Lonchura striata: one gene and its partner. Each later gene encodes a partner of the first gene's protein in a complex. Links are inferred from orthologs where the notes say so. Each region holds a gene or a part of one and is shown on either strand. Other genes may lie near its edges.

Region 1 (11,069 bases):
CAGAGAGGTACATTTTTTGTTCACATTATTATTTCTCCCTTGAAATAAGTATGACTTTTTCCTGTCCTGTTCAAAAGAATAGGACAAATTTCAGGTTTAGGTGTGCTTCTAAATGAAGCATTTAAATATTGCCTGCCTTCTCAGTACTACACATGATGGGAGTTCACACTCCTCAAACATTATTCTTTAGGCAATTGCCTTTCAGTGATCAATTAATATCTGAAATCTTAGTTATTTCATCTTTCACATCCTTAATCTCAGTTTGAACTCTTGTTAGATTGGCCAATTTCTCATTCAGTAAAGCAATTTCTTTCTGCCGTTGCAAAACTTCCTCCACTAATCTTCCTATTCTCAGTGTTAGGTCATTTATTAAGGGCTCCAAGATGGCAAACTCCTTTTTAACTCTGTACATCTTAGGTTTCAAATCATTTGCAAATGCAACTGTCTTCAGAACTTTTGCTCTGTCACCTTCAAGATTCAAAAGTCTATCAGAATGCTTGTCAAAATTGCTCTTTAACTCAGACAGTGATGTCTTAATTTGCTCAATTTTTCTTGCGTTACTGGATGCCAGGCTTTGTATTTTCGTACTTCGGTCGATGCTACTGGTAAGGAGGTCACCTATATTTTTTACTGTTGCCTTTTCACCTTTTTCTACTTTATCTTCTAATGTTTGCAAAGAATCTGTCAGTGCAGTCATGTCTGAGACCAGGCCTGAAATGCGCCTTATGTCAGTTTTTACTGTCACAATTGTCAATGTTATGTTTTTTGCTACAGAAGCTGCATCCTGTTCAGCGCTTGAAACTGCATGAAAAAGGCTTGTTAAATTCTTCTCCAGTTCTTCTTGTTTTTTAATTATGCTGCTAGACCATGTTTTCATTGTATAAATATCTTCCTGCAGATATTTAATGTGAGAAATTATTTGAAGATCTTCCAGTTGTTTCATTAAGTTCCAAGTCTTTTCACACTAGAGGGATACAAAAATATTTCTAGCTTAAGAACTCAATGTCAAAATTCAAGCTATACTTTAATGAAATACCTTACTATTCTGACATTCAATTTGAGTGCAAAACCTGTCTCTAGGAAATCAATTTCTGTTATAACACAACCAGATTTTTTTTTTTCTTGTCAGTATACTTAATAAATGTTAGTACTTCTTCTATTGCAACAAAAAATTACAAGAAGGTGCCACGTGACTTTCCAAGGTGACCTCTGAAAACACAAATCATCAGTTCACTGTGTTACAAGTCTATGGAAAAAAATACACAAAGTAACAACAAAAGAAACTAGGTAGTGAAAACTAAATACAAACTAAAAATATTAACTTTCCCCCCCTTAAATCTAAATACCTGGCTTCAAATTGTTTTTAATAAAAAAACTGCAAATAATCCTTAATTTAAGAAAATATTACTTTCCTTCTTTAACAAAGTGTTACTTCCTTGCTCACTACCCTCTTTCTCCACCTTTCAAGCTGTTCCAATGATCTTTAGATCAGTGACAGTACATCAGTGATCTTTGATATAGGTTTAAATCACATTATTTATAAAAAAGTGCTTTTTCATCAATGAAAAGACTAAGACCAAATTCACTTATCCCCATTCTGGTCATTTTCGAAGTTAAAGCTTTCTAAAGTTACTTCTGCTTTTGAAGATACTGCTATGTCAGGCCCTGCTTCTAGAACAGCTAGCTCATGCAGCACTTTGAACAAGCTGCCATTGGACTGGAGGCCTTCAAGAGCCTTCTGCATCACCACTGTATCAGAAACAGTTTTCAGCATGTCATTTTCCACAGCGTACAGCTGTGTCTTCAAGTCCTCTATCTTTTTCTCCATACCAAGCAATTCACTTGACAACCTAAGAATGGAGTGAATAGCATTTTCAATTGTTGGCAAATGGCTCTTGCACTCCTCAATTTTAGGTTCATAGTTTGCAAGTTTCTGATTCAGGTCTGTGTCCTTGGCTACCAGACTATTCTGTTCTTCTTCTATCTTTTCAACTGACTTTGCATCCAAGTTCAACTTTTGTTCAACTCTAGAAAATTCATCATCTTCTTGCTTTTTTAGTGTTCTGATATTTCTGGCTGTACTGTCTTCCAAATCTCTTACTCTTTCTGCAAGGGATTTAATTCTTTGGTCAACTTCATTAATTTTGGAAGTAACTTCTGTATGAATGAACTTTGCTTCAGATTTTAAACCACTAGCATTTGTGTTCATTTCATCCAGACTTCTTCTCCAGGGATTTGTAACATTTTGGAACTTCTCATTAATTCTCTGCATCTTTAGAGATAGAGTCTGTTCATTGTTCTGAATATCATTTATGGTGTTATGAAGAGAAGATATTTCCTGCCCAAACTCAGTCATCACAGAGATGGATGAGGCAGCTTCTCGCAGGATACTTTCAGAAGACTCAAGCTGCATTTACAACACAAAACAATGTCTGTGTCTACTTAACAAAAGTAACAACAGAAAACCATTTCCATTTATTAAGAGATAATAAAGTCCCTTAAAAACCACTGTACTTGTTACAAAGTTCCTCCATGGTGTGTTTCCATGGTTCCTCTTTAAAATATCATTGATTAACCTAGCATGAAAAAGTATGTCTGTTGTTGAACTTCTATAGCATATATGCAATTTTCCATGCTTGTTTTTTTTTGTCAAAAATACAGTAAATCCCATGCAACACTTTGAAATCTGTAGTATATAAATATCCAAATTACATAATATATGAATGACATAATTCAGAGATCAGTGCTGAAATAAAATCACTGGCATGAGCCATGCCATGCTTCCATCATTATTCATAATGTATCAGGGATAATTCAGCAGCCAGCACATCTTTTCTACTGGATAATGTCACACGTGGTAATATCTTTTTTCATTACTATAGTATTTTCTTATCTATCACTTTATTATGTCTTCATATTATTAGAACAGGTCTGCTACATCAAAATGCCGGTACATTTTCTTCAAATCAATGTACCTAAGAATTGCACATGAAAGAGGAATGGTAAATGAAACATGCATATATGTAAGTTCTTAAAAATACTTTAGTTTCTAAAAAATTATACTGAGATACAACCTACTGGAACAATGGCATGGATTGACATGCTTTGTCACATGAAATAGTCTCTAAATGCCTATTCACAGGCAAGTAAAACACATTCTGAAAACTTGTTTTAAAACAGGCAGTTAAATTAATGAAATAACAGTGAAGTAAGCAATGACAAATGTTCACAAAAGATCATCCAATTGAGATGTTAATTATTACCTTTTCAGAAATTAAGTTTACTTTATTTCCCACATCCAGGATTTTTTCAGCTTCTTGATGTAAAAAATTGTACTTTCTTTCCAGATCAGAAAATTGACCTGACTGCTGAAATAGAAACCTGGAAATTTCAAGCAAATAAACAGAAAACGTAACTTCTTAATTAGTATATATTAAGTATTTCAGGACCTGATTCAGAGCAAATTGTTACTGGAGGGATTTGTTTTCACAAAATTTGCTAGATCAATATATGGCAAAAAAAGAAAAACAAATTGATCTGTCTTGATACTTCTACAAAAGGTATGACAGCAAGGAAGCATTGATAGATGTCTTTGCTTTTACACTGCATGCTAGGGTAACTAAGGCACTGATGCTGCTAAGATATTTTAAAACATCTTTAACAAAGGCATTTGACCTTTACTTAAGGACTCCACCTGATGAACGGTTTATTACACTGATGAGGAAATGATTTAAAGAAAACTCTATTTCACTTCTTCTGTCCATTTACTGCCTGCTCAACGAGCACTTCCTGTCAGCCTAAGTCGCTCTCCAGGAAGATGCAGTCTCCAAAGCAGGTCTTTAGAATTCCTGAGCAAGGCACCTTCAACCTCATGTAACAGATGGAGCTTCTACAGTAACTCACTGCACGCCCATGTTTCCCTGCTTGTAAATACTGCTACTCTTTCCTGGATCCTTCTGGCTCTAACATGTTTCTGTAGACACTTAGCTCAAGCTCTCTGCTAACATGAAAATCACACACCCCACAGAATACAAAAGAAAATACTAAAATCCTCTTTAGAGAGGGTTACCTACCAGCTCACCACCAGGCAAACAGCAAGGGAAACGACACTCAAGCTTGTCCTTGAGTCCATCCAAAAGGAACTGTGATTATTGCTGGTCCTGGGACTTGCCAGCTTCCCATAATTACTGTGCTTCTCAGCCTTCTGTGAATCTTCATTGGTCTTGGATGAAGAAATACCTTTTTTCCTTGTCTTAACTTCAGACATTTTGTGGTTTTAAAAAGCAGAAGCAAAGGAGAAAGCTAGGAAAAAAAAAACAAACAAGAGAAAGGACTTGTTTTTAACTTCTTACGTTTTAAACATCCTCAAACATAAACTGTAAGTACATAAATACACCTCCAAAAATGTTTCTTTTGCTGTTCACTATGCTTCCTAGTAAAGTATCATACTTTCACTTGCTTTCTATATTACAGAGCATTGCTATCATATTTTCTCCAGCTGAATTGACTTTCCAAGCTTAATCTAACTTCATGTTTCCAGAAATATTTTGTCTGTTATAGAATAAGTTGTTTTAAACATAGATTTAAAATTACAAGGATTAAAAGTATATTTCTTTTTGTAGCTGATGACTGTCACAAGTTCATCAGCAATTTCACTGATGTACTTGTGTTTTACCTGTAGATTTAAAAAAGAATTATCATCTACACCACACTAAAAGGGGAAAGTTAATTTTTCAATTTAAAAAATAAAATTGCAAATCAAGCTTTAATTTAGTAGCTCTGCTGTAATGATTTCATGTCATCTGTAAAATCACAAACATCAGTTAACAAAAAGTCATGATAAAAAAGTTCAGAAGATTCATTAAATCATTCCTCTAGAAAACAGAAAAACTTCCTGTTGATAAAATTAAGATCAGAATAGACTGAGGCAATATGAATCTCCAGCTCATATTTTAACCATCCAAGTGAAGTACAGAGTGTAGTTTTTAAGCCTAAAATCTCCCACCATACTCCTCAAAATAGACTTGATCCTTGTCAGAGTTGCTTTAGCCTAATTTGAGACCAAATTGTTCTGCTGGGGTTTTGGATCACTTAGCAGCATTGCTGCTTAGTCACATATCAAAATAGAAATATTTGGAGATACTTACATAGTCATGTACAGGGGTAAAAGGTATTGTTTAAAATCCAATCTGTCATGCAGGTAGTTTAGAGCTGTTTGAGCCACAGTACTAGGAAGTACACTCTGAGCTTGAAGCATGGAGAAAAAAGTTTTTCATTTCCAAAAAAAAAATCCACCAAAAGAACCCCCAAACAAAACACAAAACACACACACAAAAAAACCCCAAACCAAACAAAAAACCCCCAAAAAACAAAAAAACAAACACACAAAAAACCCCAAAACAAAACCAAAAAAAACGCAACCAAAACAAAAACCAAACAAAAGAAGCCACCAAAACGGAAAAATTGTATTTTGAAGCTTTTAAAACATCTTGGGGTTGGAGAGAATATATTATTAAGTTAAAATGGAGGGAAAAAAGAGAGCTCTGAATAATAGTTAGAAAAAGAGTTTAAGAGAGAAAAGCTCTGCTTTTAAAGGACAGCTTCTGCGCGCAGCCCGGTGCGGCAGAGAGGGATGAGCCGCAGCTCCCCAGAGACCCTTCCGGACCGGTCCGCTGCCCCCAGAGTGACCCACATCCCCTCTTCTTCCCCCAAAGTGACCCACATCTCCTCTTCTTCCCCCAAAGTGACCCACATCCCCTCCGCTCCCCCCAGAGTGACCCACATCCCCTCTTCTTCCCCTAAAGTGACCCACACCCCCTCCGCTCCCCCCAGAGTGACCCACACCCCCTCCGCTCCCCCCAGAGTGACCCACATCTCCTCTTCTCCCCCATAGTGATCCACATCCCCTCCGCGCCCGGGGCCCCCGGCAAGCCCGAGCCCGCCGTGCAGGATTCCCCAGCCCCGGCAGCGCCGACCTCCGCTCTCCCCTCCCTGCGGCCGCCGCCCCGTACCCGCCGCGCTCCTCCGGCCCCAGCGGCGGGCGGGGCCGCCCTGCCCCGCAGGCACCACGTTTGCAGGCCCGGGCCCCTCCCCTGGCCGCGGCTGCCGCACGCCGCCCGCTGCGCCACGTCCGGGCCCGCCCGCCGCGGGCGGCGATCCCGGCAGCACGGCCGGGCTCGGCGGCGCGGGGCTTTGTTCGGCGGCGGTGAGCGCCGAGCGGGCCGGGCACCGAGCGGGCCGGGCACCGAGCGGGCCGGGCCGGCCCTTCCCCGCCCAGGCCCGGAAGGAGGAAGCGCTGCCGGCGCCGCCTGCCCGGGAGCCGCGGGGTAGCGGCTGCGCCTCGGGGCTCGGCGGGGCTCGGGGCCGGCGGGGCTCGGGGCTCGGCGGGGCTCGGGGCCGGCGGGGCTCGGGGCTCGGCGGCTGCCGGGGCTCCCCGCTGCCCGCCAGGTGAGCGCCGTGCTGGACGCGCAGGGACGGACCGCACCGGACCGCGAGGGTTCCGCCGGGGCAGGGCAGGGGCCGGCGGGCGGGCGGTCTGAGCGCCTCGGTCTCCATTTGGTTGGCGGCTGGCAACAGCAGCACGCTGTGAGTTAACCCTTTGTTTTGGGTGTGTTTGTGGAGCGATTTCTTCTGTATTTGCCTCGCTTGTAGCAGTATTGTTATCTGTTTAGCGTCCCCTTTCCTCCGCTGTGCGGTGGGATGAAGGTAGTGTGCAAGGCTTTCTTAACTACGTAATTTTTAGTGACTATAGGAAATTCTGTCAGCACGGCGGAAGGGGCTCTCCATCACGGGCTTACCCAAAGGCAGCTGCTCTGCGTCTGCCCAGCTCCTGAAGGAGAGGGTGCCGGAAAAGGCCAACGCTTCTGTGTGTGCTCTGTGTGAAGCTTCGACTTGTTTATGGAGCTTTCCTGGCAGGAGTGTCATCAGAGAGAGCGTTTTGGTCGATTGGGACTCTCGGAGGCGCTGATCAGTTCTTTATGCCGTAGTCAATAGTTTTCACCTGTTTTCTTCAGACATTTGGTTTTTTATGATATGGAGGGAGAATGCAAGTTTGAAGTTGCGTGTGCAAATGCTGATAAAGGAAGGTACAGCGCAGTCAATGGCAGTGTTGGTGCTCCCTCTTCCATCATGTCAGGAGCCAAGTGTCCTTGAACTTGGAGACAACAATGCGTTTATCCCGTGCAATGAGGCCAGTCCTCTTTCTCATCCTGTTGACCCAATCACATAATCCAAGGACTTAAAAAAAAATGGGGGATGTAGTGAGTGGGGAGAAGACCTTTGAATAGAGACATTTAGCAAGATGCTAGTATATGAGAAGCTTGTAGTCTTTGGTTTTGTAGTTCTGAAAGTGTTCATAAACATAAATTCATAGGAATGGGAAAAAAAAATGTGTATTTTCAGAATTAGTGCTTTGCTACTCCTTCTGATTTTAACACCAAAATTTATAAGCTGTTCTAAAACTTATTTCCTCATGCTTGTAAGTTATGTTCCCAGTCTGACTTTACTTTCCCCCACTCTTTTTCACTCTGAAGAAATATGGATGTCAAGAGTAGAAACTATTTACTTATGAATCGTCAAGCACTGGAAAATGACATCAAGACTTCTTATATTATGGATCGTATGATTTCTGATGAAGTATTGACATTACAGGAGGAGGAGAGAGTGAAGCAACAGGTAGAATTATCTCTCACTGCTATTTCTTTCCCTAATCTACTCACATATTTTACCATCCTTTTAAAAATAGTAATTTCTGACTATCTAATTCCTGTATTTATCGAATTCTAGCACACAGTTTTTGTTGCTCAATAAAGTTAAGGGCTTGGTAAATTAAAGACTATTTCTGTAACTATAAATAGTCTATAATTTACAAAGTGATAGATTAAATTATTTTTGGAGTTTCTTAGTTTTGTAATACCTCTTCTAATTTTTTTTTTTCTAGAATACACGGAAGGAGCGAGCAGCTATGCTAATAAACATTATTCTTACAAAGGATAATAATTCATATAGATCCTTTTATAATGCACTGCTCCACGAAGGGTACAGAGATCTTGCTGCACTTCTTCAGGACGGCATCCCTGCCGTCTCGTCTGGTAACAGAAAAAGTTCAATGGATGGAATGACTTCCTACGGTCAGTGTAACTACAGCAATCCCTGTGCTGGAGTGTGAACAAAAGTTGTCTTTTTTAATCCTTAGAAAGTGGCTATGTGTAATACCTGTTCCAATGAAAAAGGAGCAGTTGGTGCATTTGTTTATTTTGGTAGTATAGTAACTATGTCTATTTCTTCTGCTTAATATGGCAGGAGAATTACAACAGTTACTATTTTTATAGCTCACCTTGAAAGTGTTCATATTGAATAATGCTGATTTTAAAAGGTAGAAGAACTGATGCTCTTATTATTTTCTCTAATTTGTAAAATTTTTGTTGTAAGTGAAAGACAGACTTTCATTTGTATCTATTAAAATAAAAACTTGTAGCCTCCAAAATTCTGATATTTATTTTGAAGAGTAATCTGGAATCTCTCAACCTACATTGATCTAGTTGATCATTGATTAATTGATCTAGTTATTAGGTTACTTAATTCTTTCCATCAGATCTTTTAGTTACCTTGTATAAGTTCCATAACTTTTACCCGCATTGTCATCAGGATCATCTTCGACATGAAATAAATTTGTAGTTTCTAATGGGCAGAACCTTCTAACTGCATATGACTAACTGCCATATTTACTGGCACTCTGCATGTAGTAAGTGTCAAAGGCATGTGGAGTTCAAGGCTATCTTAGATAATCAAAGTTTATCAGTTATGTCACTTCATATAGCCACAAAGTGGGCAGATGAAGTGCACGTTTCCTTTTCTGTTATGCTTTACCTCTTTCAAGTCATGCTATCTCAGCTTAAAGCAGTGGAAGTCTTGCTTGGACCCCAGTGCTGTGCTGTGAACTGCCAAGGAAAGGCCCTACACAGCATCCTTTCTTTTTTGCTGCATCCACGGTGTGCTGACCTCTGGCTGAGAAAGTGACTTGATTGTTTGGTATAGTAATGTTGACCTCCTGTGTTTGCCACATTTTCCATGGGAGATATTAATTCTCTCTTCACTTCTAGGGATTAATGTAATAAGCTTTCCCAATGCAGTTATTAATTTGAACACTGCTTTAGGTAGGGAGCTAGTTACATGCTAAGTATTTTTATTTCTAAAAAGCAGTATTTTTTTGTTATTTGTTATTTGTAGTCCAGCATATTTTAGGGCATTTTTATAGGACATGAGGTGGGGAGGAAGCCCACTAGTTATTTTGGATGACGAGTTGTTTGGTTGAGTATGAAGAGGCATCTCATTTAGAACTCATGTTTTATTTTGATGTTTCTTGTTCTTAACTTTAGTGAAGACCATTCTCTGCGAAGGAGGCGTACCACAGAGACCGGTTGTTTTTGTCACTCGACCAAAACTGGTAGATGCTATTAAAAAGAAACTGTACTGCTTGGGAAGTGATCCAGGTTGGGTCACAGTTTATGGAATGGCAGGCTGTGGGAAGACTGTTTTAACAGCAGAAGCTTTAAGGGATCCTCAGCTCTTGGAAGGTACTTTCAGAAAAGCATCTGTATTTTTATAAAAATCACTGTAGATTTACACATATTGGACATGAATGGTGCATATGTCACCTTGAAAGTGATTTGGATTTCTTAATTTCTTAGGTGATTCTGAAATGTTTGCTTGCAATATACAACTTCCATAACCATGTGGTGGTCTAGGACCACTAAGTGTTCTATTAGTTTGTAGAAAAAGGTTTTGAATAGCTTTTCACCTTAGAATCTGCTGTGGTTTATGAGAGTACGTGCATCCTTGATTACCTTAAAATCTTTATTTCTTTTAGTGCAAAATAATATATCCAGTTATATTCCTTTTGGGCATTGCTTATAAGGTCCTCTGACTCCTTGCTATATGAGTTTAAAAAACTTTTTAATAGTAGCAGACATTTGTGGGTGATTAGTATTGCCTTAGCTTAAAGTAGATCATAGATACAAACATTTAATGGCATTTTTTCTATTTTATTTATTTTTCCTTGCATAGGACACTAGGAGGAGAAAGTAGGACTTGGCATTAAAGAAAAAACGATGTAGGGTTAGATACTATAGCATCCTCTGCTACAGCTGACTCATCTAGGTATCTTCTTGATCACTGTCATACCCCAGGCTCTGAACTCTTGCAGTACTACATGGTTAAAAATGTAAATGGTAGGTCAGACGAGCAGAAAGATGGATGCAGAAGGGGCTGTGGAGGGACAGGAAGGAAGACGTGTAGAAAGGAGGGACAACAGCATCAGTGATGGTGTGAAATTTCTGTGGGTACTTGTCTTACAGAGTCTGTTCCTTTTAAAAATAAACAGGAGTGGTCTTGTAGAACCACCCTTGTGTGTTAATAGCAGAGTTGCAAGGATGGCTTGCAACAGATTTTAGAGATTTGTGTTTCAATTAATGCTGACTTACTGCTGTAAGTTGCTATAAAATATTTTAAATTATTTAAAATGTATGGCATGATTAATATTGCTTTTCTTGTTAGATTACTTTCCAGGAGGAGTTCACTGGATCTCTGTTGGGAAACAGGACAAAGCAGGGCTGCTCATAAAACTTCAGAATCTCTGTAGTAGATTGGAACATGACTCCACTCTTTCACAAAGGCCACCACTTAACATTGAGGAGGCTAAAGATCGTCTTCGTTTGCTGATGTTACGCAAATACCCCAGGTGATATCACTAAAATCAAATACTTTTCTTTTACTTATAAAACTTTGCAGAGTAACTTTGGTCTAATCATCTGAGGTATCTGTGGTTTTGTTACATGTGTCAGTGGTGTGTATTTTGTTTTTTTATCCAACTTCCTAGCTTAGGTTAATAAGACTTCTAGCAACAAAATATGTTAACCAGCTGTGCAGGAGTCATATTTGTTTGAAAAAGCGAATACTGAAATAATGAAAGATGAGATTGAATAGTGAAAGATGGGAACAAACAACTGGAAATAAGGATTTCTCTAATTTTCAGTGTTCTCACTGTGTGTGTAGACTGCTTTACTGATATG
Region 2 (11,066 bases), on another chromosome or scaffold:
AGAGCTTCCAATTCCTGAGCAACTTCCTTCCACACGGGCTCGATGTGGATGCAGCTGAAGCACCAGTCTGAGGTGATTTTAATGAGGTAAGGTTTCTTGAAACTATCTGGCACGATTTCATTGATGTAGTGGGAAAAGTGGAGCAAATACTTCTCGTCGGAGGAGTCGCGCCTCTCGGAATTGAAAGGGAAATGGAAGAAGGACTCGTCAAAATAGAAGCCATCGTGGAAGCGGTGGAACTGGCGATGCTGCTGCTGAGAGAAGCCCTGGCTTTCCCCAGCATCTCCATAGCGATCGAAGTTTGCTCTTTTTTCCTCATTGGAGAGAATCTGGAAAGCAAATTATGGAAAAATTATTGCCTGAAACCATGAGGGGGAACTGCCCTGACTGTAATCCCTCAGTAATTAACATAAGGAATGTGCAATCTTTGCTGCAAATCAGTCAGATAAATATTTTGGAAAAAGGAAGCATCACATCCTTCTCGGCTCACTGAGGTAAATTAGGGTAAAAAACCCTCAAAGCCCAAAGAAAAGGAGGCCCTAAATCCAGACTGCTGTACCCGCTTCTGTCACCAACAGCTCCTTGGGTCTGAACATCCTGTGTTCTGAACACAAACACTCTTTTCTGGAGCAGGTTTTGCTGGTGTCTGTTCTAATCTAGAGGGTTCAGAAAGTGCCAAAAGTTTCACTGAGCAGCCAGAAGCCCTGCAGAGAAACTGCATTTTTTAGCAGGGAAATAAGGATTTATTTTGATTTCCATGGGCTTGGCTGCCACAAACTGGAGTAAACAATTTCCAGAACATGCAAATAACTACTGCTAAGAATAATTTGAGGTGACTAAATCCCTGTGATGATGAATGGTGCTTACATGACCCCAAAATGCTTTTATGTATGTGTGACACAGTCAGGACGCTGCACAGCCAGGCAGGGCTTGGGGAATACCCACTCCTTTTTTCTTTCAGGCTTTTTAGGCAGAGCAAATTTTTTGGGTAGATAATGTCCACCTCCACAGAGTCAAGCACCTTTCCCACATAGAAATACACTGGAAAAACACAAAACCATGTATGGAAAACTAAGGTCACTTAATGTTAACGATAGCAGGAGTTCACAGGAAGCATGTATTACCTCGTAGGCCTTACTAATCTGGATGAATTTGTCCTCTGCTCCTGGGTCCTTGTTTTTGTCAGGGTGCCTGTGGGGCAGAACCAGAGGAAAAGGGGTCAGTAGGAGCTGCTGGCCTCTGTTTGGAGCTGAGGGGGACATGGGCAGTGAGGGCGTGCACTGACATCCCCGAGGCTGAGACCAGATTTATACCCAGCACGTGCTGTCACTGCCCAAACCCCATCCCAAAATGCAGCAGTGGGATGTGTGCCATGTGCCTGTGGACCTGTCCCTCTCTCTGCTCCTTCCCAAGCAGCCTGAGCCCAGGGCATGGAGCGTGTCTCCTTCCTAGCAATGCCTCCCTTGGCTGCTGCCCTACATAACTACCGGGTTCTCCCTTGAATCACCAGCTGCCACGGCCTCAGGGATGTCTCACACAGAACAACATGGGCTCTAAAAGCTGCAGGTAAGCAACTTTATTCATTTTATTTCCATGCCTAAGTCTGGCCCTCACCACACACCACCTGCATGAGGGGCACGATGCTTGTGCATCCAACACATTTCCCGTCCACAGCACAGGGACTGAACGGCCCTTGGACACCCAGGCATCAAGCTGAGACTTCAGCCCTCATCAATTACAAGTTCCCAGGGAGAATTTTTTCTCCCCACAACCAGACTCCAAGAGAACTTTTACCCCCATTGCTTGACTCTGGGAGAACTTTTTCCCCTTGTAGCCAGATTCCAGGAGAACTTTTCCCCGCACAGCCAGACTTAGGGAGAACTTTTCTCCCTGTCGCCTGATTCTGGGAGAACCTTTTCCCTTTGTAACCAGACTCTGGAAGAACTTTTTCCTACAGCCACACTCTGCGACAATTTTCCCCCCACACAGCCACACTCCAGGAGAACTTTTCCCTCCGTAGCCAGATTCCAGGAGAACCTTCCCCCACGCAGCCTGATTCTGGGAGAGCATTTCCCCTGCTAAGCAGACTCTGAGCGACCTTCTCCCCCCGCAGCCAGCCTCCGGAGGGTTTTACAGCGCGTATCGGCATGGGGCATCTCTGTATGCCAGGCCGGCCTGCGAGGAGCACAGCGGGGCCAGCGGCTGAGGCCGCCGCGGGGCCGGCGCTGCCGCCGAGCCGCGGCCGGGGCCGCTGCCGGCGGGCGGAGCGGGCGCAAGGGCAGCACGTACCATTCCCGGGCGAGCCGCTTGTAGGCCTTCTTGATGTCGGCCTGGCTGGAGCTCCGGCCGACGCCCAGCACGCGGTAGGGGTCGAAGTCGCCCGGCGCGGGCAGCGGCAGCAGCAGCAGCAGCAGCAGCAGCGGCAGGCCGCCGGGCCGGGCCGGCTCCATGGTGCGGCGGCCGCGGGCGGAGGCGGCGGACGCGCCGCCCTCCCGCGCCAGCGCCGCCGCTTCCGCCGCGCCCGCCCGCCGTCCCCATGGAGACCCGGCGCTTCCGGGACAGCGGGGCGGCGCTGGGCCCTGCGGAGGAGCTGTGCCGGCGCTGTGGGGCGGGCTGGGCTGGGGATGGGGCGGCCGGGAGCGCCAGCCGGGTCCGGGACAGCCGGCAGCGCCAGCCGGGTCCGGGACAGCCCGGAGCTCCAGCCGGGTCCGGGGCAGCCCGGAGCGCCAGCCGGGTCCGGGGCAGCCCGGAGCGCCAGCCGGGTCCGGGGCAGCCCGGAGCTCCAGCCGTGTCCGGGATGTCCGGGAGCTCCAGCCGGTCCCGGGGCAGCCCGGAGCTCCAGCCGGGTCCAGGGCAGCCCGGAGCTCCAGCCGGGTCCGGGGGCAGCCCGGAGCTCCAGCCGGGTCCAGGGCAGCCCGGAGCGCCAGCCGGGTCCGGGGCAGCCCGGAGCTCCAGCCGTGTCCGGGATGTCCGGGAGCTCCAGCCGGTCCCGGGGCAGCCCGGAGCTCCAGCCGGGTCCGGGACAGCCGGCAGCGCCAGCCGTGTCCCGGGGCAGCCCGGAGCTCCAGCCGGGTCCGGGACAGCCGGCAGCGCCAGCCGGGTCCGGGGATGGCCGGGAGCTCCAGCCGGTCCCGGGGCAGCCCGGAGCTCCAGCCGGGTCCGGGCACAGCCCAGAGCTCCAGCCGGTCCCGGGGCAGCCCGGAGCTCCAGCCGGGTCCCGGGACGGCCGGGAGCTCCAGCCGGGTCCCGGGGCGGCCGGGAGCTCCAGCCGGGTCCCGGGGCAGCCCGGAGGTCCAGCCGGGTCCGGGGATGGCCGGGAGCTCCAGCCGGGTCCGGGGGCAGCCCCGAGCTCCAGCCGGGTCCCGGGGCAGCCGGGAGCTCCAGCCGGGTCGCGGGTCCCGGGCCGCTCTGCTCTGCGCTGGGGCGGCCTCGCCGCAGTGTGAGGGCAGGTGTGGGTACCACAAAATAACAGAGATATGGAGTGTTAGAAAGCGTCCAGAGGAGGACAGTGAGGGTGGGGAAGGGCTTTGAGGGGAGGAGGAGCGGCTGAGGGCACTTGGGGTGTTCAGCCTGGGGGAGACTGAGGGGAGATTCATCCTCTGAGAGGGAGAGACACACACGGATCTCTGCTCTGGTGACAGTGGCAGGACCGAGGGAATGGCTGGAGCTGTGTCAGGGCAGGGTTAACTTGGATGTTAGGGAAAGGGTCTTCCCCCAGAGGGTGGTCGGGCACTGAACAGGCTCCCCAGGGAACCGACACAGCACGGAGCCTGTCTGAGTTCCAGGAGCATTCGGACATCACTTCTGGGGACATGATGTGACTCTGGGGGTGTCCTCTGTGAGAACAGGACTCAATGATCTGTGTGGGTCCCTTCCAACTCAGCATGTTCTGTGATTCTATTTTGGTGGTGTGTTGTTTTTTTTTTTTTTTTTTTTTTTTTTTTTTTTGTTTTTTTTTTTTTTAATCCAAAGTCAAAGACTTCTTTCTTGAATTGTGCTCTGGCAGTCAGGAGACTCACTAAGGAAACTGGGAGGGAGCATGGATGGGACAGGTGACCTGAACTGGCCAAAGGGATATTCCACACCACAGAATGTCCAGTGCATCAACTGAGGGGAGTGACTGGGAAGGAGCTGATCTGGGTTCAGGAAAGGGATCTGACATCAGTCAGTGGGTGGTGAGCAACTACATTGTGCATCACTTGTTTTCCCCTTTATCATTGTTATTATCGTTGTTGTTGTTATTGTTATAATTTACCATTACTACAGTATTTTACTTTATTTTCAATTATTAAACCAGTATTTTCACAACATACAAGTTTTACTTTGATTCTCCTTCCCATTCCACAGGGTGGGAGGGGAAAAGAAGGGGGGAGCTGAGCAAGTAGCTGCGTGGTACCTAATTTGCAGCTCTGCTAAACCCACAACAGTTGGCTTAGGGAATGTGGGTTGGATGAATGGGTGGTGAGGTGGATCAAGGGCTGTCTGGGTGGCAGAGTGCAGAGGGCATCATCCACTTGGAGGTCTGCAGTCAGTGGCTTCCCCAAAGATCAATACTGGGCCCAGTCTTAATCAGCTTGTTTATCAACAATCTGGACAGAGTGATGGAATGTACCCTCAGCAGGTTTGGTGATGATATGGAAATGGCTGATCCACCTGAAGGCTGGGGGACTGGGTGACACACCTGGGGGACTGGCTGATCCACCTGAAGGCTGTGCTACCATTCAGCAGGACTTTGAGAGGCTGGAGAATTGGACAGAGAGAAAATTAATGATGACCAGCAAGGGCAGATGTAAGTCCTGCCCCAGGAGGAACAGCCCCAAGTACCAGCACAGGCGGGGTGACCTGCTGGAGCATCTCTGCAGGAAGGACCTGGGGGTCCCACGGTCAATGAGCTGTCCTGGAGCCAGCAGAGTGTCCTGGGGGCCCAGAGGCCCTGGGGTGCACTGGGAGGAGCACTGGCAGCAGGTCAGGGAGTGACCCTGCCCCTCTGCCCAGCCTTGGGAGGCACACCTGGAGTGCCCTGTCCAGCCCTGGGCTCCTCGCCAGCGAAGGTGAGGAAGGGCCTGGAGCAACTCCCTTGCTGAGGAAGGGCTGAGGGAGCAGAGGCTGTTCAGCCTGGAGAAGAGACACAGCTGGGAGGGGCCCTCATCCCCGTCCCTGTCTGTCCCTGTCTATCCCTGTCTGTCCCTGTCTGTCCCTGTCTGTCCCCGTCTGTCCCTGTCTGTCCCCGTCTGTCCCTGTCTGTCCCTGTCTGTCCCTGTCTGCAGGGACGGCTCAGCCTCTGCTCCGGGGGGACCAGAAATGGCACAAGAGCAAGGGGCAGGAACTGATGCACGGGAAGTTCTATCTGAACACAAGGAAGAACTTTGCTGTGCGGCTGACACAGTGCCTAGAGAGGGTGTGGAGTGTTCATCCCTGGAGATACTAAAAGAAAAACCAAAACAAAACACCAAGACACAAAAGGACGGAATCCTGTTTCGTTTGCTCTGGCATGGCCCTTCTGGGGCACACCAGGGCTCTTCCAGCCTGACTCCGTGTGCGATTCTGGGACTCCGAGGCGGCGGCTCCGGGCTTTGAGCGGCGGCTCCGGGAAGGCACCGGGGGCGGGTCCGGGGCAGCGGGGCGGGTGCGGGGCAGAGCAGCGGCTCCGGAAGGGAACCGGGGGTGGGTACGGGCACTGAGCGGCGTTTCCGGGGCTGAGCGGCGGCTCCGGGCACTGAGCGGCGATGCCAGGCATTGAGCGGCGGCCCCGGCCATTGAACGGCAGTCCCGGGCATTGAGCGGCGGCCCCGGCCATTGAACGGCAGTCCCGGGCATTGAACGGCGGTCCCGGGCACTGAACGGCGGTCCCGGGCATTGAACGGCAGTCCCGGGCATTGAACGGCGGTCCCGGGCATTGAACGGCGGTCCCGAGCATTGAACGGCGGTCCCGGGCACTGAACGGCAGTCCCGGGCATTGAACGGCGGTCCCGGGCCGGGCGCGGTCCCGGCCATTGAACGGCAGTCCCGGGCATTGAACGGCGGTCCCGAGCATTGAACGGCAGTCCCGGGCATTGAACGGCGGTCCCGGGCATTGAACGGCGGTCCCGGGCATTGAACGGCAGTCCCGAGCATTGAACGGCGGTCCCGGGCATTGAACGGCGGTCCCGGGCACTGAACGGCAGTCCCGGGCATTGAACGGCAGTCCCGGGCATTGAACGGCGGTCCCGGGCATTGAACAGCGGTCCCGAGCATTGAACGGCGGTCCCGGGCACTGAACGGCAGTCCCGGGCTGGGCGCAGTCCCGGGCATTGAACGGCAGTCCCGGGCACTGAACGGCAGTCCCGGGCTGGGCGCAGTCCCGGGCATTGAACGGCGGTCCCGGGCATTGAACGGCGGTCCCGGGCATTGAACGGCGGTCCCGGGCCGGGCGCGGTCCCGGGCAGTGAACGGCAGTCCCGGGCACTGAACGGCAGTCCCGGGCATTGAACGGCGGCCCCGGGCCGGGCGCGGCCCCGGGCCGGGCGCGGTCCCGGGCACTGAACGGCAGTCCCGGGCACTGAACGGCAGTCCCGGGCATTGAACGGCGGTCCCGGGCATTGAACGGCGGCCCCGGGCCGGGCGCGGTCCCGAGCATTGAACGGCGGTCCCGGGCACTGAACGGCAGTCCCGAGCATTGAACGGCAGTCCCGGGCACTGAACGGCGGTCCCGGGCATTGAACGGCGGCCCCGGGCCGGGCGCGGTCCCGGGCATTGAACGGCAGTCCCGGGCATTGAACGGCGGTCCCGGGCACTGAACGGCGGTCCCGGGCATTGAACGGCGGCCCCGGGCCGGGCGCGGTCCCGGCGCCCCGGGGCCATGGAGCAGCGGCAGCGGCGGGCGCTGCGGCGCGGGCGGGCCCGGCTGGTGGCGGCGCTGCGGGTGGAGCCGCTCTGGGAGCCGCTGGAGCAGCGCGGGCTCTTCACCCGGCCCATGCTGGAGGAGCTGCAGGTGGGCCGGGGAGCGGGACACCGAGCACCGGGGCTGGCCCGGGGACCGGCATGGCGGGGTAGCTCCTGCATCCCCTGAGCCCTGGTGACACGACTGAAGGGTGGCCCCCATGTCTCCTCACCCTGGTGACAGCCTTGGCAGGGGTGGCTCCATGTCCTCTTGGGCCCAAAGGGGGAACCCATGTCCCTTGAGCCTGTGAGAAGTCACGGGTGGCCCCCAAGTCCTTTCACTCTAGGGACAGACGTGGGTGAGATTGTCCTGTGTCCTCTCAAGTCCAAGGGAGACCCCAGGTCCCTCCACTCTGCTGACAAGCTCATAGGGGAGCTCCATGTCCCTTTAGTCCTGGTGACAGGTGCAAAGGGATGGCCCTGTGTCCCCTCACTCTCGATGACAAGGCCTGACGTTGGTCCTTGTGCAGATAAGATGTTTGAGAACTGCCTTCCCCCACTTGTCCCTTCTTGTCCCCCGCCAGTGCCAGGTGTAGGGGTTTCTCCTTTTGTCCCCATCCCACTCTGGTGGCACCCTTAAGGTATTCATGTTTCCCCCCTTGGTTACAGGTGACAGGCCTGGGGGTGTTTTTACCCCATCTTACACACTGGTGACAGCCCAGGGGTGCCTGGGTGCCCCTGGTCCCCAGGAGCCAGACTTGGGGTTCTCCCTTTCCCTCTTTCCCTCTAGACCCCTCACTGGGCTGGGTTTCCCAGTCGTGACCATTGTTGTTGGAGGGAGGTCAGGGTCTGGTGGGGGTCTCTGACTATTTCCACTCGGTTTTGCTCTTGTTTACCCCATGTCCATGTCCTGGGTGTGGATCCCACATTCCCCTGCTCAGAGCGGTCGGAAGGGCTGCCCAGGCACTGCATGAGCCCCTCTCGTGGGATTTTCTCCTCTGCAGAGTGCTGGCAGCCGGGGAGAGCAAGCCCGGCAGCTGATCATTGACCTGGAGACCCGGGGGAAGCAGGCTTTCCCTGCCTTCCTCTCCATCCTGCGGGACACCGGGCAGGGCCACCTCGCCGAGATGCTGATCCAGGAGTGCGAGTCCCGGCCGGTGCCAACGGAGCTGCCGGACCTGCAGCCCGTGGAGCTGGAGCTGCAGGAGGAAAAACAGCGTAAAAGTCAGTGCTGAGGGTGTGCTGTGTTTTTGGCAAACAGCAGCATGGGAGGTGGCAGCTGGGACTCGTCTCCCTGTGGGCAAGAGTCCAGAAGTCATGATTTTTAGTATCCTGGTAGAGGTGGCTGTTGGGAGAATCATGGAATCCCAGAATGGTTTGAGTTGGAAGGGACCTTAAAGCTCATCTCATTCCATCCCCTGCCATGGGCAGAGACACCTTCCACTATCCCAGGTTGCTCCAAGCCCTGTCCAGCTTGGTCTTGAGCACTGCCAGGGATGGGGAGCCTCTCCACAGCAGCCTTTCAGGGCAGCCTGTGTGTCCTGCTTTTCAGCAGTGGAACCTTTTGAGCTTGGACTCATCCTCTGTATTTTTGTCCCATGCCATTACAGATGTGATCCCTCACGAACGTTTGTCTATCCCAGTCCAAGCTGAGAGTGAACGACCTCGAATGCCTCCTGTGCCAGCCCGAGGTAATCCACATTCCACTTCTAGAGCCACAGCATGCCAAAGGCTTGTTTCCAGTGTGGTGGGAAGGGGAAATTCATATGTGGTGGGAAAGACATGAACTCTAGGAGTGTGGTCTTGTTGTGGAGTGCGGTGAACTGAATCCTGTGTCTGTTTTGTGTTGTAGGTTCAGCTGTTGACAAGAGGAGCCGTGATCAGGTTAGTATTTGAGAAGGCTGTGTCAGGGTTTGACACTAGCACAATGCCAGTGCCCCAATGAAAATGTAACCTATCAATTGAATGCTGTGAAATGCGATCGAGAACAGAGCAAAGCAGGCCAAACTTAATAACAAGGGGAAAACTTTATTACACTACTACTACTACTACTACTATAAAAGAAAAAAGGAAGAAAAAAGAAAACACACACAAAATTCAAACTGAAAACCTTTCAAAACATTCCTCCTCCCATCACCCAACTCCAACAAACCACAGCGAGACACATTTGGACTCTTAATCAAGTCTTCACCCTTCCACATAATCAATCCTGAGTCCATCAAGGGAGAGAGGAGTCTCCCTTGCACCATAGACCCCCAGGAAACACAGCTGCCACTTCTTGTGTTTCCATGTCACATGTGGCACTGCCTGGAGAGAATCTGCCAGTGTGACACTCTCCTCTCCATGTCACAGTGCTCTCACCACTGTGCATGGATGGAGACTGCTTATAGGGCCCCTTTAAGGATGCTTTGCCAAGGACCAACAGGAACAACAGTCCAGTGTCTCATTTTGGGACTACAGTCCCCCCCATTTTCCCCTGGGGCCGGGGGTCCAAGAACAGAGATTGCCTTCTCTTCTTCTCGGAGGACAGAGGGCATCATCACACCCTCCTCAGCTGACATCTGTTCATTCCTGAACTGGGAGTTGCTGGAGGAATTTCTTGGCTCACCATTGCATCCCCCTAGAATGCAGTCTCTCTTGGAGGAGAAGTTGGTTCAGTCTATGGCTGACAAGAAGAGTCCAGCCAAAAGCCACTCGATCATCTCCCCCCAACCTTCTTTCCCTAACAACTAAGGTCCCCAGCTGTCTCTCCTTCAAATTGAGGAGGAGCAATATTTCACAAAGCCTTCATTTCACAGGAAAGGGTTAAAATTCCCAAACTCCCTGGACGACTGAAATCTCTGGCCCAGGAGGCTGTGCTGTCTCCCACACTGGGCATCTTCCCCCCACCCCGTCCTCCTTCTCTGCTGGCAAACTCCTGGGTGTCTGAAGGCTCTCTATGTCTTTTCCTCTAGGCTGGGGGGGCAACAAAGACATCTCAGACGTTCTCCACCCTTCCATCTGCAGGAACTGGCCCAGCTCGGTTTCAGACCCTTCACCCCCTGGCCTACCTCTGCAGGCCACATGGCTTCCCCTCCCCACCCAGCTCATGGCTGGGCAGGAGAGGTTTGCACCCTCCCATGACCAGAACCAAAGAGAGCGAGTTCTCCTGGGAGTTCTGCTTTTTACCCCTCTGTGTTCTCAGAGGCGTGTCCATCCTCAATTGGTCACCCCAAGTGTCAGTATCCAAACCTGACCCCTGACTGGACTGACCTCTTCCTTCCGAGAAAATTCTTTTTCCGTGTCAAACCACGATAGGCTGAAAGTGTTCCCTACTAGGCAAAAGCTCTGTGCCTCAGGGGTGACTCCAGAAAATGTTCCTGGAGGAGCTGGATCTCACCTTGTCTTACCTGAGCAATTGCTCCAAGGCTGTAACAGGGCCGATGGTCTCAGAGTGGATCAGTCATTAACCAGGTCCTCCTTAAGATTGCCACAGCGATAACATAAATTCTTGGCTCCTTTTGGTGAGGTTTGATGATAATGCCTAAAAGAAGTTCCCAGAAATTTCAACTTGCTGTTGGACATGCTACAAATAAAGCAGCAGCCAGGTTTCCACAAAGGCTTTGCCCAGTTTAGTGGGTTGCCTCTTGTTCCTGGCTGCTGATGAGAAGATGTATGTGGAGAAAGGGTACTCCTACCCATCCCTAGGACTAGAGAAATGAAAAAAGCTGTGAAATGAGCCACTTTAAGGACTCCCATTCCTCACTGGCATTGTATCCTGCTGGATTAGCCAGCAAGCTCTTGGAATAAGAAGAAGTTCAATTGTGACGTGTTCCTTCCAGGATTATGAGATGAAAGCAGATCCCTGTGGACACTGCCTGATCCTCAATAACGTCAACTTCTGCAGAGACTCGGGTCTGTCCACGCGAGAAGGCTCCGACATTGACTGTGAGAAGCTGGAGAGGCGCTTCAAGGCCTTGTGCTTCACCGTCCTGACCCGGCGGGATCTGAAAGCTCAGGTGAGGCTGCTTGTGTCCTGCTGACACGAGGGATGAGAGGTGAGCCCCTGGAAGTGATGGGAATGCTTTAGGGGATGTGTCTTGTGTTTTGGCAGCACATCAAAAACCTCCCATAAAGAAACAATGAACCACTTGCATTCTCTTTCTTTATTGTTGTGCTGCAATTGCAGAAGAGGAGAGGACCTTGCACATTTTCATCTTACTGCATGA

The links.
Region 2: the proteins of APAF1 (region 1) and CASP9 are in contact, whole or in part, in a crystal structure (PDB 4RHW), measured with the Homo sapiens proteins. The link is inferred for Lonchura striata from reciprocal best matches to the Homo sapiens genes APAF1 and CASP9. Residues at the interface, in NP_863651.1 of Homo sapiens: Thr22, Ser23, Tyr24, Met26, Asp27, Ile30, Ser31, Ile37, Glu40, Glu41, Arg44; in NP_001220.2 of Homo sapiens: Asp23, Trp26, Asp27, Leu30, Arg36, Pro37, His38, Glu41, Gln44, Arg45.

The regions. Positions count from the first base shown.
Region 1 is NC_134607.1:55,458,965-55,470,033, forward strand, and holds the start of APAF1 (apoptotic protease-activating factor 1), read left to right. Parts: upstream 1-6,387; 5' UTR 6,388-6,447; intron 6,448-6,457; exon of another isoform or gene 6,458-6,585; intron 6,586-7,532; 5' UTR 7,533-7,536; coding exon 7,537-7,674; intron 7,675-7,939; coding exon 7,940-8,129; intron 8,130-9,377; coding exon 9,378-9,575; intron 9,576-10,554; coding exon 10,555-10,738; intron 10,739-11,069. Other genes in the region: IKBIP (inhibitor of nuclear factor kappa-B kinase-interacting protein), read right to left, coding at 1,583-2,407, 3,264-3,381, 4,074-4,267. UniProt on the Homo sapiens protein: Oligomeric Apaf-1 mediates the cytochrome c-dependent autocatalytic activation of pro-caspase-9 (Apaf-3), leading to the activation of caspase-3 and apoptosis. This activation requires ATP. Isoform 6 is less effective in inducing apoptosis.
Region 2 is NC_134626.1:7,669,893-7,680,958, forward strand, and holds the start of CASP9 (caspase-9), read left to right. Parts: upstream 1-6,838; coding exon 6,839-6,970; intron 6,971-7,862; coding exon 7,863-8,082; intron 8,083-8,468; coding exon 8,469-8,549; intron 8,550-8,710; coding exon 8,711-8,742; intron 8,743-10,679; coding exon 10,680-10,856; intron 10,857-11,066. Other genes in the region: DNAJC16 (dnaJ homolog subfamily C member 16), read right to left, coding at 1-329, 1,125-1,191, 2,290-2,450. UniProt on the Homo sapiens protein: Involved in the activation cascade of caspases responsible for apoptosis execution. Binding of caspase-9 to Apaf-1 leads to activation of the protease which then cleaves and activates effector caspases caspase-3 (CASP3) or caspase-7 (CASP7).